5 separate regions of the Mus musculus genome follow, and regions 2, 3, 4 and 5 are each reported to be linked to region 1. The links are microRNA targets in miRTarBase. Many come from high-throughput screens and were not tested one by one. Region 1 holds a microRNA gene; each other region holds the end of a gene's coding sequence.

Region 1 (4,573 bases):
TGGCTGGGAGGGACTTGGGATAGTGTGGGAAGAACTGATAACATGGATTTGAGAAATCAGTTGACTTTACTAATGTGTGGATGAGAGAAAAGCTGTAGTCAATTTGAATCCTGAGGGGAGGGAGTTATGTCTTGGACCATTACTCCCCTGTCTGTAAGAGACTTGGTCTTTCCACTGACAAACTTTTATTTTGAGACAGGTTTTACCATGCGACCCTGGCTAATCTGAAACTCGCTATGTAGCCTGGTCTCCTTGAATTCATAGAGATCCACCTGCCTTTGTCTCCCAGGTACTAGGATTAAAGATGTGTACTAATGTGCCTTGATCTATTGCCAAACTTTTAAATGCCATTTTAAAGTGTGTGTGTGTGTGTGTGTGTGTGTGTGTGTGTGTGTGTGTGTGAATATGAACATGAGTTAGGTGTCCTCAGAGGTCAGAAGAGGGTGTTGGATTTCCTGGAGCTGGGACTGCAGGTGGCTGTAAGCCATCTAGTATGGCTGGGGAACTCATTTAAGTCCAATTTTAACAGTTCTGCAAGAGTAGTACTCGATTTTGACAGCCATGCCATCAATCTCTCCAGCCCCCAAACTCATGGAGCAGAAAAGTTGCTTCCATGCAGAATGCAAAACATTACAAATGAAAAGCACAGGAGCAGCAGCAAAACACTTTAATTTTACATTTGATTTTTATTTTTATGTGTATGGGTGTTTTGACTGCCCATATGTCTATGCATGCAATGGCTTTAGAGACCAGAAGACGATACTGGACTGGAGTTACAGATGCCTTTGAGACAACTTGTGGATCCTGGGCATGGAACCTGAGTCCTCTGGAAGAGCAGCCAACCCTCTTAACCACTGAGCCTTCTTTCTGGTGAGCCCCCTCTCTTTAAAGACAGTATTTCATGTAGTTCAGGCTGGTCTTGAACTTCTGGCTCTTTTCTCCACTTCCCAAATGTTGGAATTTCTGGATGTTTTATTTTGTATCTGTGTGGAGCGATGCAGTGTGGTGGCTGTATCCCCAGTACTGCAAAAACCTAGGAGGATTACCATAAGCACAAGGCTAGCCTGGTCTACTCTGTGAGTTCTCAACTAGCCAGCCGTGATATACGATGTCTCAAAAAACCAGCATTCTTTTTTTTCCCAAAGAAGACAAAACAATGTAGGGACTGAGATATTATGGGTCAGTGTTAATAGCATTGGTTGCTCTACCAGAGCATATGGGTTTCATTTCCAGCATGCATGTGTTTGCTTACAATCCTCTATAGTTTCAGTTGCAGAGGATAGAAAGCCTTTTGACCTCCCTGAACACTAGGCATGTACATGGTGGTACAGACAGGCAAACAAAGCACCCATACACAAAAAATTACATTTAAAATTAAGTGGACAAAATGAGTTCTTGAAGATCGAAAACCAGCTCTGTCTGCTTTAAAAATATTTTCTTTCAGCCTTTGAGCTGGGGGGTAAAGATTCCCTGTCTCATATGGATATAACTAGGGGTAAAGCTCAGACGCCAGCTGCAAAACTCTGTTTTTCCCTTCGCTGACAGAACTGAGTAGAACACCTCAGGTTCTGGGTGCTAGGTGCTGTGTATCTTTGGACATATTAGCTCAGAAAGGTCACTTAATGAACTCTTACCCATAAAGTGGTTCACATTCTCAATGACATCAATGACATCAGAGCATTTCTTCACTTACAAAAAGTGCCAGGGCCTCCTCAGCCCAGCCAGAGGTTTCCTGATGACGATGCTCTGAAGTTGGACAGAAAGAGGGAAGGCCACGGTTTTTAAGTAAATGTCCCATCCTGGAGGAGCAATGAACAAATTTCTCGCGAAATACGAAGCATCCCCTAGGGGTTCATTCAACCGCTGGCTTGGCCAAAGGACACTTTGCCGGGATCTCAGAGCCCTCGCTAATTTGGTGAGCTGTGTAGTAAGCATGGACGCGCCCTCATGAGTATCACTATAATAACTACAGAGAAATGAGCTGGGAAAAGGCGGACAGAGCTCCTTTTCAAGAGTTATGAATGAGGAGAAAGTGTTTGTAGAACTCATTGTTAAAACGGTGGAGCCAAAACTCGGGCGCCTGGCCAATCGGAGCCTGGAGGCTATTTTGAAATCTTTCCAGCAGCAGCCAATAGGTGCGCAGGAGGCAAAGCTTGGTGTAGGCGCAAGCCAATGAGGCTGGCGCTGTGCCTTGAGGCCCGGGGCTCGGCCCTCGGGACTGTCAGATGGTTAAAGATGGAGCCGAGGGAGAGAGGGCGCCACGAGGTGCTGAGGTGCGGGGTTGTCCAGATATGACGGGGCCGCCGCCTACCTGGATCTTCCACTAAGCTTCACCTTGTCCCCCTGGTGAGAACAAGAGGTGTCTGTCCACGTGAGTAACTGGTCTGGGATAGGGTGTGCGGTGAGGCCAGGGAAACTCCAGATGCCAGGAAGCCCTAGTTCTGCTCTTCTAGGCAGGAGAATCTGTTAGGATAGAGTGCAGAACTCATACTGGGGGAATGGACCAAGGACCGGATCTCGGACTCCAAGGGCCTCACGTGCAAGGAGTGAAGTATCCCTCTTATTCTAGTTCTGGTCTGAAACAGGGTACAAGTAGTCCCACTGTGCTCCCCTCTGCAACTGAGCGCAGGCCTCTCTCCTTTGTGTTTGAGCCCCCTCGGGTGCTCGCCCTTCAGCTCCCTCCTTGGAGTACCTCACCAGAATCAGAAGCCTGTTAGAGAAAGTTTGAGTTCCCTGAAGTTAATAAGTCCAGAGGACTGCATCCGGGCTGGAATCCCGTCTGTTCTCCGAGCTTGGATAGATGTCCCACCCACCCATGGTGGTTGAATTTCCAGCGCAGCCCTGCGTGCAGCGAGGGCGATGGATTTCCTGCTGGCTGCGGGTGCTCTGACTAGGTTGCACTACTGTGCTGTGAGAAGCAGTGCAATGGTATTGTCAAAGCATCTGGGACCAGCCTCGAAGACCACCTCACCTACTGTTCCTTCTTTCTTCCCTTTCCAGGCCTGGCCCCTCAGGCCTGCAGGCCGTACCCTCCCCCTGCTCATTTTACTCTCTTCTCCATGGAAACTTGAGATTGTAGCCAGGCCCGTGTCTCTGGGGTCAGAGGGCATCCTTTGCTCAGGCCGAGGCTCCGCCCAGGTGGGCATGCGTTCTAGGTCTAAGATCCCACTCCAGCCACCCCAACTCCCCATGCCCCGCCCCACCCCGTGAGACTGACAGGCTTGTTGGACACTCTTTCCCTGTTGCACTACTGTGGGCCTCTGGGAAGCAGTGCAATGATGAAAGGGCATCTGTCGGGCCAGCTAAGGAGCCTGAGGAACAAAAGGGTCAGTGCTTGGATCATAGTCTTAGATAGAGATAGCTATCTCTAGCTAAAAGGATAAGGTGGATGCTGAGAACCATATTCCAAGGCTGGAACCAGTACAAAGGGGAGACCCCAGATTTGGAAAGGCTCCAGTCTCAAGCTCTTAGCCCCCTCCCCCCAGGTTAAGATAGGGGAGTCTGCTGCAGGGGGCGCGGCGGTGAGTGAATGGTAGGTAGCTCATGCCTTAAATCTCAGCACTTGGAAGGCAAAGGCAGGTGGATCACCCAGATCTAGGGCATCCTGGTCTACATAGTGAGTTTTAGGACAGCCAGGGATACACAGAGAAACCGTGTTTTGAGAAAAACCAAATTAACTAATTAATTAATTAATCAATTAAAAAAGAAAGAAAGATTGGTGAGCCCATGTCTGGAGGCTGATGCAGGAAGATTGTCTCAGTTTTGAAGCTGTCTGAAGAATCAAAACAAAACTAGGAACTCCAGGACCTTGTGGAGAGAAACAGATGTTCACCTCTTTGTATGGAAAAGGTTTGTATACCTTGCTTAGCCTTGACTGCCTCGGGAAGAACTGGACTCAGCCTTTCCTGAGATAACCACACCTTGGGTTCACACCTTGAGGCTCAGAAGAAGTGTCCTGCCTGGGCCAGATGGATGGACTTGGAACAAGAAGCCTGCAGAGTAGGCCTGCCAGCCATGTCTGCTTGCTCCTTTACAAAGAGGGTATGTGCTGAGTAGGAGAGGCATGGAGGTGTCTGGTATGTCTGCTTTCCAGACAGGGCTGGAGCTCATTTTTATTTATTTATTTATTTATTTATTTATTTAATTTATATGAGTGCACTGTAGCTGTCTTCAGACACACCAGAAGAGGCCATCGGATCCCATTACAGATGGTTGTGAGCCACCATGTGGTTGCTGGGATTTGAACTCAGGACCCCTGGAAGAACAGTGCTCTTAACCACTGAGCCATCTCTCCAGCCCTGGAGCTGAATTTTTAAGGATGCCCGATCCTTAGTGTGCTTGCAGAGTTACCTTTAGCGGCAAGACCCAATGGCCCATGCCTTTGAATGCAGCACAGGGAAGGCATGGGTAGGTAGATCTCTGTGAGTTCAAGGACAACCTGGTCTACCCTGCACGTTCCAGAAGAGCTATATTTACATGGTAAAGCCCTGTTTCAATGCACCCACCCCTCTTTTACAAACAAACAAAAACCTAGTAGGAGGTGGTCAGGCCTGCCTCCTTGAGAGGAGGCCCA
Region 2 (3,000 bases), not on the chromosome of region 1:
TACATGGCTAATTACCACTTAAAGCACACCTAGTGAGCCTGGCTACTGCACTCAACAGAGCAGAATTAGATCATTCATTCTGGCCACAATTCATTCTAAGTGGGAAGAAAGTCACAGATCTAAATCTAAGAAGGCAAAAAGAACCCACAAAAGTTGCTCCCAACTGAACTGTCTTCTCTTCAGATAAAAGTCAGGTATTAAAAACAGTCCATTTTATTCGGTTTTTAAAACTAGTTACACAGTTGAATTGACTATTCATTAGGTACTATTCTGTACGGGGATTATGCCTGGGTATGGCGACACTTCAGTACTGTAACAAGCCCACTACTGTATGTGTATATTGAGACACTCGGCATAGAGATACTAAAAAATGACTGTAGTATTCCTTTAAGGAAGATTGTAAAGAGTGTGTTAAAAGATGACATTTATCAACTTGTGAATTATTCCAACTAGAAGATAACTTGCACTCTATAAAGTTGTGATAGGCAAACATGTTATCATTTAAAAATGCACACAAAAAAGGTACATAAAAATCCAGATATTCTAGTAAATAAATTTAAAAAAACCTAAAACCTATGTTTCAGCTTTTGTAACACGAGAAGATAAAGAATATAACTTAAAAACATACACCAAAAAAACAAGTCACACAATGGTCTGCGTTAAGGGTTGCATCTGTACAAAATCTTGTCAGTGTTATCTCTACAGTTTATTGTACAATCTTTTACATCTACATAACATACTAAACAAGTCAAATATCAAGACTTATTAATATTAGTGATTCTGTAGGCAGGCATACAGGTAGAGGGGAGAGAGGGGGAGAGGGAAAGAGAGTGAAAAAGGGGGGGGAGAGGGAGACAGAAAGGGAGAAGAAGAGGGAGAGAGATCAAAAACTGCAATCTTCCACTCATTTGAAGTGTAATGTATTTCAAGGTGGGGTGTAAAACAATATTTGTATGGACTACAGGGTAAAAAACAATCAGCCATGGTGTTTATTGATGTTCTTTTTTATTTTTAAAATCACACATTGTATACACATACAAATCAGTCTAAAATTTATTCACCAAACCCCCAGTTTTTCAGCAATTGGCTCTTACTCAGCACCAAAAACTCCAGTCTGTGGAGATACAGACATCTGCAGTGTGGTTGAGCGTGTCAGGTTCTAGGTTAACTCTGAGACTTTGCCCCCTTTGATCCTTTTCTCTTCATGGCTCTCTAGACACAAGGCGGTCAAAACTTCAGATTCATGACCCATGGCCCTACTAATGCTAAACTCAACAGCCTTTGGGGAAGAACTCAAAATAACGTGAGATGAATGAAATGAGAGAACCTACATAATTGATGAGCATTCTCCATTCCGAGGACATTGTTGTTTTTAACAACGTTCGAGACTGTTTGGTCATAATACCATGATAGTACTAGGCTACTTCTAGTCTGAGACTTTGTGACTTTGTCATATGTCTCAAAAGAAAAAGTGATCAGTACTCAGGGAACACTTCAGAACAAGTTAGGAAATCAAATGGCAGCTGAGAACCTGTGAGCGAAGACTAATGAGGCCAAACAGAGAAGCCACCAAAATGATGAAAGCTCAAGAGAAGCTGAGTTGTGAAACTTGCAGAGTCACCACGGATGATACCTGAGGATCTGGAGTTTTTGATGAAATGAGCCCAGAATGAGGACTAGTCATCTGCATTAAGAAAAATAAAACAAAAAATTATGTCAGATTATCAAAACACTCAGTTCTAAAATCCCACCAAACAGATTGTGTTTATTCTCCTTACCTTTGTCTATACAAAGACTTTCTGGCCCTCTGTTTTTACAGAAATGTAATAAGCACTTAGGAATTTAGATGAGTTGTGCATGGTAGGGAATGCCTTTAATACTAGCATTTGAGAAAGGGGAGGGGTGGAGGCAGAAAGAGCTCTGAGGCCACCTGTTCAACATAGTGATTTCTAGGCTACCCAGGGCTACATAGAGATAAAAACTCTATCTGAAAATTAACAAAACAAAAACCAAATAAACAAATGAACAAAAGAATCCAGATGATGAGACAGAGAGATGGCTTAGCAGTTAAGAGCATATGTATCTGTTCCCAGCAGCCACAGGGAGGCTTACAACTATCTATAACTCAGTTCCCTCTTCTGGCCGCCAAAGGCACGGACGGCATGCTCATGTGAATATACACAAATACAAGTCGAAGATTCATACACATTTAAAAACATCCAGATGAAGTGTTCTCATGATTGTAGAAACCAGAGTTCCTAGTACAACCCCAACTTCTTTTCTTTCACCTGACTATCCCAGGCTACTGATGCAAGTTACTTATTTTCTAACTGTCCCAATACAGTCACATAAATTGCCTCCCTAACAATGGAAACAAAAATCAAGAAAAATTCTATAATAGTTATTTCCACTGACCACAGACAAAGCTGTATTTACAATCAACCCAACAAAATCCTCTGAGGGTACAGGCACAGGCTACCATGTTTGTTTACCTCAGCACTGGAAATCGAATTAGGGTCTCATCTTTGCTAAATTTGGGCTCTTCCTCTAAACTATCTACCCCCTACCTCAAAAGTCATGTTTAAAAGCATTCAAGTGTGGTGACACATAGCTGCAATCCTAGTGTTCATGAGACTATGGTAGGGGAATCTCAAATGCACGGCTAGCCTGGTCTACATAGCTGTCCCTGTCTCCAAAAGTCAAAACAAAGAACTCTCTTCACTTTATCTAAGCAGTTACATCTAAAATGTTAGCAAACCTTAAAATCTTGTAGGTATTTCCTTGGCTACTGGTAGGACGACACATGCTGGGAAAGACCCATGTAACTCACCCCTCTATGCATAATAGCATGGTGACACAAGGAGGTCAGTGAGGACAAGCAGCTGGTCATCAGTGAACTGCTGCTTGTGTTCTTGCCAGTTGTCATGATGTGTCCTTCGGAAATTGGATAAGGTCTTCTTTACAGTCATCTGTAATTGACCCATATACATTTTAACCTCT
Region 3 (3,000 bases), not on the chromosome of region 1:
AGGTTGGTCCTTTCTCTAGGACCAAAGCCATGGCTGGCAGATCATACCCTCAGACATGTAGAAGCTGAAAAGGAAGGAGACAGAAATGAAGAAACCCAGGCTGGTATCTCAGCACACCCCTGGCTGCCACCCAGTGCTGCTGAAACCTAATATCTTGTTTCTTTTTCCTTCTGTAACTAATGAGCAGGATGACAAGTACTGGGCGAGGCGCAGAAAGAACAACATGGCGGCCAAGCGCTCCCGTGATGCCCGGCGGCTGAAGGAGAACCAGATCGCAATCCGGGCCTCATTCCTGGAGAAGGAGAACTCGGCCCTCCGCCAGGAGGTGGCTGATTTAAGGAAGGAGCTGGGCAAATGCAAGAACATACTTGCCAAGTACGAGGCCAGGCACGGGCCCCTGTAAGATGGCATTTTTGTGGGCTGGCTTTTGAATAGATGGACAGCTTGTTTCCTGTCTGGTAGCCCCACACCCAAACCAACCTTTCTGACATCAGCACTTTACCAGAGGCATAAACGCAACTGACTCATATTTTGGTGTGCATCTATGCGTATGTATGTATGTTTGTGTGTGTGTATATGTGCTTATGGTCCCATGTGTGGTCAGCGGTGTGCATGTGTGAGCGTGTATATGTGTGTATTCCTTCACACTTGTCGTTTAAAGATAGTCCTCTTGTTGTCTTTTAGTTCCAAACAAGAAAGGTGCCATGTTTTTTATTCCACCCTGGAGACTCCCATGGGGTTTCCTCCCCTTCCTTCTCCCTTCCTGCCCCTTTCTGCCTTGCTCTGTGTTCTAGCGATCTCACTTGGCCAGGGTCTGTGTTGCTTCAGGAAGCAGGGCCCTGGATCTCAGTGATCAAGACCATAAGCTCTTGTTTCTGTTTCAGCCATGAATTACCATGCTGGAAAGGTGCATAGCATACCCTAGCACTGCGCGCAGCTGAATTCCTTCATAGGTTGCCCCACTTCCCTTCCCTTTTTCCTCCCCACCCTTTCTCGTTTTTTCCTTTCAGTTTTGGTGACACTTGTCTTCAAATTTAAAGTGCTGTTTAGATTTAGTAGAGTCCCATATTTACTTACTGCTACCTACTAAGTTTCCTTTTAATTCCACCAACCCCAGATAAGTAAGTACCATTCCTTATAGAACACAGAGTGTGTTTTGCACTGTCTGTACCTAAAGCAATAATCCTAGTGTACGCTAGAGCATGCTGCCTGAGTATTAACTAGTGGACGTAGGAAAAAAAATTCCCTACCTAGGAATTTCACTGTCTTTTAAAAAAAAAACTCAAAAATCAAGTAATGCATTTGTGCATGACCAGAATATTCTCAGGACAGGGAAGCAGAGGGCAAGGGAAGGCCTAAGAATGAGGGGTTAATTTATCAGTATGTATGCCAAAAACATAATAATAATGCATCTTGGAGAAGCCTTTGCCACGGTGTGCTTCGTCGTGCGTCTCCCCTTCCCACACCCAGCCCATTCCCACTTTTCTAGCCCATTCACTTTCTCCATTTCCCTCTTGATATTCAAAACGATTGACTTAAGATTCAGTTTACCCACTTTGTTTTATAATATATATATTTGGGGGGGGGACGATATTTTGCTGTTTTTAGAAATCAGTTAATTAAGTGAAAAAGTTGATGTTTTGAAAAGCCCTCCCTTGACCCCCACCCCCACCCCCCGTGGTGTCCTTTTGAATGCCTCACAAATGAATGATTCCGGAGCCCGTGTTTCTCATCCTCTGTTTGCTTTTGAACATATGTGCGCCTATCAAGTGGACTTCTGAAAAAAAAAATGAATGTAAAAGACACTGGTGTATCTCAGAATGGGATGGTGTTGTCACAAACTGTGGTTTCTCCGATCAATTTAAATGTTTACTATAGACCAAAAGGAGAGATTATTAAATCGTTTAATGTTTATACAGAGTAATTATAGGAAGTTCTTTTTTTGTACAGTATTTTTCAGATATAAATACTGACAATGTATTTTGGAAGACATATATTATATATAGAAAAGAGAAAAAAAGGAAAACTATTCCGTGTTTTAAAATTATATAGCAAAGATATATATTCACCAATGCTGTTCAGAGGAGTGCTTGGGGGCTTTTGAAATCTTTAATATTTTAAACCTATTACTGACACATCAGCATGTTTTCTGCTTAAAATTAAAATTTTATGACAATACTGAGGCTTGCTGTGACGACTCCTGCTCCAACGCTTTCTTGTTTCTTATTAGGTCTCAGAAGGAAGTCAGTTAACGTCACCCAAAAGCACAAAACGGGTTTTAGTCAAATATTTATTGGATGATCCAGTGTTTTTTAGGAAAAGCATCTGCCACATAAATGTTCACTTCAGGATTCTGAGTCGTTGGAATGGAGTATGGCTGCCAGAGCCCCAGATGATTTTGTTCGCTTTCGGCCTGTGTATCTATCTCACGCAGTGTAAGGTTGACCTCGGTGCTATGTGTACGGCTTAGAGTTTGATAGCTGTTTTGACTTTAAAGATGGCTGTTATTTTGTTTCACTGAGTTGTATAATGTCAAGAGAGTCTGCTGTTTCTTCAAAAGCACATTTTTGTGCTCGATTAAAATCCCCTTCCATCCATGGATGTTTTCCGGTCTCCTGCCTCCACAGTATCTGACTTCTCTGCGGATCCAGTGATGCCCTCCCCCCTCCCTCAGCCACTCCGCTGTCCAGTGTCACAGATCTGGAAAACGAGACCTGTAGGTTTCTTCCCAGGTTCCTGTTGTATTCCACGGTGAGAGATGAGAGAGTGAGAGAAATAAAATACATTTTGCAAGCAAATTACTGATTAAAAAAAATGTTTCAACCATGTTGTATAGAACTGAATAAGAGATAATTCAGTAATAGCCATGGGACACCAAAAAGTTGGTCCTTTTGAAGATAGAGAAAGAGAGGGATTGCAGAACTGTTCAATGACAGTGCTTGCCAGGGCACAGATGAGTACTTAAGGAGAGAAGTGTTCAAGGGTTGCACTGTGGCCCAC
Region 4 (3,000 bases), not on the chromosome of region 1:
GCACATCTGGGCGGTTGTACCGTGCATCAAGAGCTTCCTGATTGAGATTCAGTGCATCAGCCGCGTCTACTCCATCTACGTCCATACCTTCTGCGATCCACTCTTTGAAGCTATTGGCAAGATATTCAGCAACATCCGCATCAGCACGCAGAAAGAGATATGAGGGACATTTCAAGGATGAAAGGTTTTTTTCCCCCCTTACTATTTCCTTGGTGCCAATTCCAAGTTGCTCTCGCAGCAGCAAATTTATGAATGGTTTGTCTTGATCAAGAACAAAGAATTCATTCCCACCATTCTCATATATACTACTTGTCTCTTCTAAGCTACTGCATCTATGTTTGACAGTCTGGAATGTTTAAACCCATTCCTGCTCTCTCTTTTATATGTGAATCATTGTTTCATTGGCTAAAATATAAACATATTGTTGAAAGATGATTTGAGAAAAATAGGAAGGACTGGGAGGCAGGGAAGAGTACCAACAACCTCAACTGCCTACTCAAAGGTGATGATGTCATACAAAGGGAAGAGATTCAGGTTACGGCCATTTGTTTAGGGGCATGAAGGAACGTTTTTAATATATGCCAGTTATCTAAGGAATTGGTTGCTGTCCTCACTCTTAACAATCCAGTTAGATTTAGGGATTTAGGGATCACCATCAATTTGGAGACTATAATCTTCATGATACCAACAATGTTTTACTTATCCTGGCATTTTAACCTGTTATTTTGTATGCCTGAATATTTGCTATACTGAGAATAAGACCTACGTGCCTTCTAATTTTTCATGTTTTTTTTTTTTCCAAATAGGATCTAACTCATCTACTTGCATGATGCCGGCAGCTTTCCTAAAAACAAAACATACAAATTGCACTTGCTAGTTCTCTGTACTTGTTTCTGACTCTGAAATACAGAACCTGTTGATGTTGATATCTGTGCTCAGCTATGTAGCATCTTTCTCTCTGTTAAGCCTGGTCAACATTAACCCAATGAAATGATTTGAAGCAGACAAATGGGGGTGAGACCTCTCTGGACTGGCAGAAGTAGAAGCCAGCTTTCCCTGCCACTCAGCAACTGAATGAGGCCAGCGTGTCTATTCAGTTTCACTCATTTTCAAGAATAATCACAGGTTCCTGACTCTAAGCCAGCCCCTCACCAGGATCAAGGTTTAGTGACTGACTGGGATGATTTAGGAGCTCAACATTGTACTTCCTTTTCAGCTGATGAGTGAACCTCCAGGGAGGGGTGTCAAAAAGGAGGCTGCTAAACCGAGACTGCCAAGCCTGTTGTAAACATGACCCCTTTTATGCAAAGCCCTTGCAATAGTCTGCAATGCTGTGAAGCTCGACCTTTCCCCCTGCAAGGAACCTTTGACCTAATCCAACCATCATTTTGTTCAGAAAGGTGGGGGAAGGGTGGTAACAAAAGCTTGAGGTAATGTTCTTGCTGTAATAAATTCAAGTTTTTCTGAACCCAAACTGAGGAATTTCACCTGTGTACCTGAGTCTCCAGAAAGCTGCCTGCCTGGGACACCCAAAAGCCTTTTACTTCCCAGCTCACATTACAGCTCTGCCCTTGGGGATATTTTTAAAATTCCAGATAGGCTTTCATTTTCACTTTCATACATGTATTGGAACCCTGCTTGACTTGTTTTCTCCTTCAGTCTTGCCGACACTTTACCAACCTGCTACCTACTTTGATTGTTTGCATTTAAAACAGACACTGGCATGGCCACAGTTTGAATTTTAAACTGTGCACATAACTGAAAGTGTACTAGACTGTATACCTTTTTACATGTAGAGATATTCTTTATCTTTATATAAGGAGAATCACTTGGGAAATGATTCTACAATTCAGTCTGTAAACTGTGTGTTCCAAGACATGTCTGTTCTCCCTAGATACTCAGTTTTATACAAGTCAATTGCTGATCCAAAAGGTTACTGAAATTTTATATGCTTACTGATATATTTTACACTTTTTTATGCTGCATGTCCTATAAAGATTTCAAATCTGCACAATAAAATTGTTTAACAGTTACGCAGTTTTGTTTGTATGTGTGTCTGTCTGTATGTATGTAGTAAGCAAGTATACAATGCATATTTGTATGTTTGTATAATGTTTGGGGGTAGCAAACTTCTCAAATATTAAAAATTAATTTAAGTGGGATTTTTCTGCTAAAAGTCATTGCTATTCATGGATTACTTCAAATAGTTTAGTTGTAATTTATAACTAATTTAAAGCCATTTTAGTAATTTATGCAATGATTTATTATCTACTAATCTGAGTTCCAGTAACCATATGTCATGGATATTAATATTGTCATCTAGTTCCACCTAAATTTACATTTGGAATTCTGTATTAAAGTGTTCTAAAGATACAAATCCACAGGACAGGGACAGGAATGATAAAGATGGAGATTAAGAAAGAAACTAAGGACGAGTGTGGTGGTGCACGCCTTTAATACCAGCACTTGGGAGGCAGAGGCAGGCAGATTTCTGAGTTCGAGGCCAGCCTGGTCTTCAAAGTGAGTTCCAGGATAGCCAGGGCTGTACAGAGAAACCCTGTCTTGAAAAACCAAGAAAGAGAGAAAGAAAGAGAGAGAGGGGGGGGGGAGGAGGGAGGGAGGAAGGAAGAAAGAAACTAAGATAAAAACAAAGAAGAAAAGATTTATCAAAAATAACTTGGCTTCATTTTGGGATACTGGCAATTTCTAGAAGGTGAACCAGGATGCTGGGGATCCCACTCAGGGGCCTGTGAGCTCAAGACTCCAGAAAAACTACTATCTGGTTTTCCAATGAAAATGATGGGAGGAAAATGATATGCCAAGCAGGAGGACCTCTGTCTGACTCAAGTGAAGGCCAATTTCTTGTTCTATTCAGATCTTCAACTGATTGAATGAGGTCTACCCATGTGAAAGAGGGCAACTTGCTTTATGCAGTCTAGCAATTGAAATAGCAATGCCATTGAAACCACTCTTGAAGGAACCATGACATAATGGTTGACC
Region 5 (3,000 bases), not on the chromosome of region 1:
GCTTGTTGGTGGACCAGTGGTGCATTAATCTCCCAGAAGCCATTGGAATTGTTGTTAGTGCACTATTGGTATTAACCATGCTAACAGGCCTCATGATATTCATGCGGAGCAGAGCATCCACATCCCGTCCATTCTCCCGTCTTCAGCTGCAGGAAGATGACGATGACCCTTTAATTGATTAATTCACCATGTCTTATTAATTTCAAAACTAAGGATCCATGCAAGGAGTGGTGTTACAGCCATAAAAAAGGTATATTTCAAAAGACAAGACACACATGGCAAAATTACTCTGGGGTGTGTGTGTGTGTGTGTGTGTGTGTGTGTGTGTGCCCTGTTTTGGTGTGTTGCCTGATGCAAATAACCCTGATGGTATTTAATTGCTGGTAAATCAGTTCAAACCACTAATGTCCCTAGCAAGACTAGCCTTTGAGAAAAAACAAAACAAAACAAAAAAACAAAACAAAACTTGAGTCCTTCTTCCTTCTTTCCTTCCTTCCTTCTTTCTTTCCTTCCTTCCTTCTTTCCATTATTCTTCCTTTCTTCTTTCTTTACTTTCAATGAAATATATCTTTAAGTGAAAATATACCAGAATTTAATAGGCATGCTTTTCTAACAAGTTTATATATTTGTAAATGACACAAAACTATTTATGTAATTTGTGCATTTTGTGTACCCTAGAGAAAAAGTTGCATATATTTTTATATTTGTCTTTAGTTAGTGTGTGTCCCAAGAAAACCCTTGAGATAGGAAATTCTGTGATAGTTAATAAAACCGATTAGCCACAGGGCATAACTGTAGCATACAAAGAAACTGTTTTAAATAAAGCTGCTAAAAACAATCAAAACCCAAGGAAGACTATGTGATGTAGAGCCCGAGCTTAGTAAGACCCGTCAGCTGTTGACACCTCAGAAGCTGAGTCTGGGGCTGGGCACAGTGGTGCACACAAGTAGGAAAGATGAGGCAGAGGCCTTGAGATGGAGTCCAGCTTGGTTACATAGCAATACCTTGGGGTTTTGTTTGTTCATCTGTTTGTTTTAGTTACATTTTTGGATACTATTGTTTATAAGAAGTTTCAAAGAGCATAGAGAAAAATTCTTCTCTGTTTGTGTTTAACGTCTCTGAGCAAGTTGTGTGTGCCAGTGTGTTTGTATGAGTGAATGTGCAGAGGTCATGTGACATGTGAAAGGGACATGTGCCAGAACACAGCTGTCGAGGAAGGTTCGGCTCAAGGAAAGGCTACTTCTTGCAGACTTTATGCGCATACTTTTACCAACTCATAACTTAATATCACTATTAAAAATACCATATTTTTGTTATAATTTTCAATTCTCATGTTTATTGGAAGTGTTCAATGCTGTAGGAAAAAAAATATGACGAGAGTATAAAGCTGCAAGGTCAGGGTTTTGAACTTGACCTTTGTGGCTCTTGAATGTGCCTTCTGTGCAGTCGAGTGGTCAGCCATGTAAAATGGAGTTGAGTGTCTTCTGCCCTGGCAGCAGCTGCGTGCTAAGGGCAGAGCAGCTCCAGCCCTGCTACTGCTCGCTTGCTCGCCTGACTCATCATAACTCCGAGAACCAGAGAGTTGTTGGGAAGCACTGTCATCATTCACTCCCTCCACAGCTGGGTCCTCAGAGCCAGAGCTATCAAAACAGCCTACATGATGTCCATTGGACAACAGACCACTGCTTCCTGGTACTGGGGTGATCTCCCGCATTCTGACAACGTAAAGCAAACTTGATTATTGCTCTTGAGACGCAAGATGGGTCTAAAGTATGCAGTGCAGGTAGACACCGATGATCCGTGATGACTCTCGACACTTGTCAGTCATCTTAGATTTATTGCGCTGAACTGGCTCACTGTGAATTTCCTTAAAGTTTGATGTCTGGAGCCTCATTGTATTTGGGTTTTGAGAGGCATTTCTGTACTGCGTACATAATCTATGCTCTTGGTCACAGAATGGATGTTTTAAGAACAGGATAGGAATGATTTTGTTCATAAGTGTTCTGATTTATTTTGTTACATGCAGTAGAGATACTAAAGGTTGAAGGGTTGATCAAGTAAAACAATAGAGAAATCTCTGCTTATTTCAATTTCCATTTAAGAAAGTAACAAACTGCAATATTCGCTTTGAGAAGAAGTAGGTGGGCACTTAGGACTTGTCTCCAGCAGAGTTGAAGACAGTTTAGCTCCCACAGTGCTGCGGATCCCAGCACAATCCCAGTGCGGTCTCCTTCCCCTGGCTGCACCTTACACTTGGTGTCCATGTGTAGAACAGACTTTTATAAAGGCTGGGATGGGAAGGGATGCTCTGCCAGTGTCTTAGTCCTTGCAGCACATGGATTTATTTTGTATTTTATTCTGTTCTCAGAATACTAAAACTAGTTAAAATGTTATAAAGTGCTTATTCAGGAGACAAGAATAGTATTTGTTTAATCAAGTATATTATCATATTGAACTTTCTGCTAGTTCGTTTGTATCCTTGAAAAACAAAAACTAAAGCCCCTGGCTGTAGTTTTGCTCTGAGAAAACCTTCTTAGTAAAGATAGGCTTTGACATGGAGATTTAGTGTTTGTGTTAGCTAAACCTGCTCTGCTTTCTGTTCAGGAGAAAATATTTGGCTTCCAAAATATTTAGCTCTTGGTGATAGTACCCAAAGATAATGGGAACGTGTTTGTCTGTGTACTTGTTGGTAATTGCACTAGTCAGCTCAGAATTTAGTACCTTGACTCTCTAGTAGAGGTCCAGGTGTGTTCCTGTTAGCCACCTATCATGTGTGCTCTTCTGTAAAAGCAGTAGGGTATGGCAAAGGCGTGCTGGCAGTGCTGCCCAGAAGGTTTCCTTTAAGAACCCACAGGTAAAGCCTTGGGATATTAAAGGCTCTGCCTTTGCACTGGTCTTGGATGTATCCCTCTCTGCCCACCTGGGAAGCTTTAAGGCTTGTTGGCTTTAATTCTTTTTGTGAAGAGTGGCTCATTTCATTTTTAATTTATAACATTACAA

The links. The annotated mature microRNA mmu-miR-301b-3p reads CAGUGCAAUGGUAUUGUCAAAGC and lies in region 1 at 2,919-2,941, shown strand. An mRNA with a match to its seed (bases 2 to 7 or 8) in the 3' UTR can be bound and repressed. Matches are read on the target gene's strand: a 7mer-m8 pairs with bases 2 to 8, a 7mer-A1 pairs with bases 2 to 7 and ends in A, and an 8mer does both.
Region 2: miRTarBase lists Psme4 as a target of mmu-miR-301b-3p. The part of its 3' UTR that is shown has no 7-base or 8-base seed match.
Region 3: miRTarBase lists Hlf as a target of mmu-miR-301b-3p. Seed matches in the 3' UTR shown: 7mer-m8 at 1,157-1,163 and 7mer-m8 at 2,985-2,991.
Region 4: miRTarBase lists Cav1 as a target of mmu-miR-301b-3p. Seed matches in the 3' UTR shown: 7mer-m8 at 865-871.
Region 5: miRTarBase lists Enpp4 as a target of mmu-miR-301b-3p. Seed matches in the 3' UTR shown: 8mer at 2,694-2,701 and 7mer-m8 at 2,886-2,892.

The regions. Positions count from the first base shown.
Region 1 is chr16:17,122,788-17,127,360 of GRCm38, reverse strand. It overlaps Mir301b (microRNA 301b), which reads left to right and starts at 2,865; the gene lies at 2,865-2,961. It overlaps 2610318N02Rik (RIKEN cDNA 2610318N02 gene), which reads left to right and starts at 2,159. Exons shown (of 7, transcript NM_001358255.1): 1 at 2,159-2,371. Mir130b (microRNA 130b) reads left to right here and starts at 3,219; the gene lies at 3,219-3,300.
Region 2 is chr11:30,878,348-30,881,347 of GRCm38, reverse strand. It overlaps Psme4 (proteasome (prosome, macropain) activator subunit 4), which reads right to left. Exons shown (of 47, transcript NM_134013.3): 46 at 2,831-2,969; 47 at 987-1,684. The coding sequence ends at 2,835. It also overlaps a transcript of Erlec1 not described here. Among named protein-coding and RNA genes, the nearest start is that of Gpr75, 5.5 kb to the left of the region's middle.
Region 3 is chr11:90,338,162-90,341,161 of GRCm38, reverse strand. Hlf (hepatic leukemia factor) reads left to right here. Exons shown (of 4, transcript NM_172563.3): 4 at 188-3,000. The coding sequence ends at 403. Among named protein-coding and RNA genes, the nearest start is that of Hlf, 51 kb to the left of the region's middle.
Region 4 is chr6:17,339,292-17,342,291 of GRCm38, forward strand. Cav1 (caveolin 1, caveolae protein) reads left to right here. Exons shown (of 3, transcript NM_007616.4): 3 at 1-2,037. The coding sequence ends at 163. Among named protein-coding and RNA genes, the nearest start is that of Cav1, 34 kb to the left of the region's middle.
Region 5 is chr17:44,096,495-44,099,494 of GRCm38, reverse strand. It overlaps Enpp4 (ectonucleotide pyrophosphatase/phosphodiesterase 4), which reads left to right. Exons shown (of 4, transcript NM_199016.2): 4 at 1-3,000. The coding sequence ends at 182. Among named protein-coding and RNA genes, the nearest start is that of Gm34917, 7.8 kb to the left of the region's middle.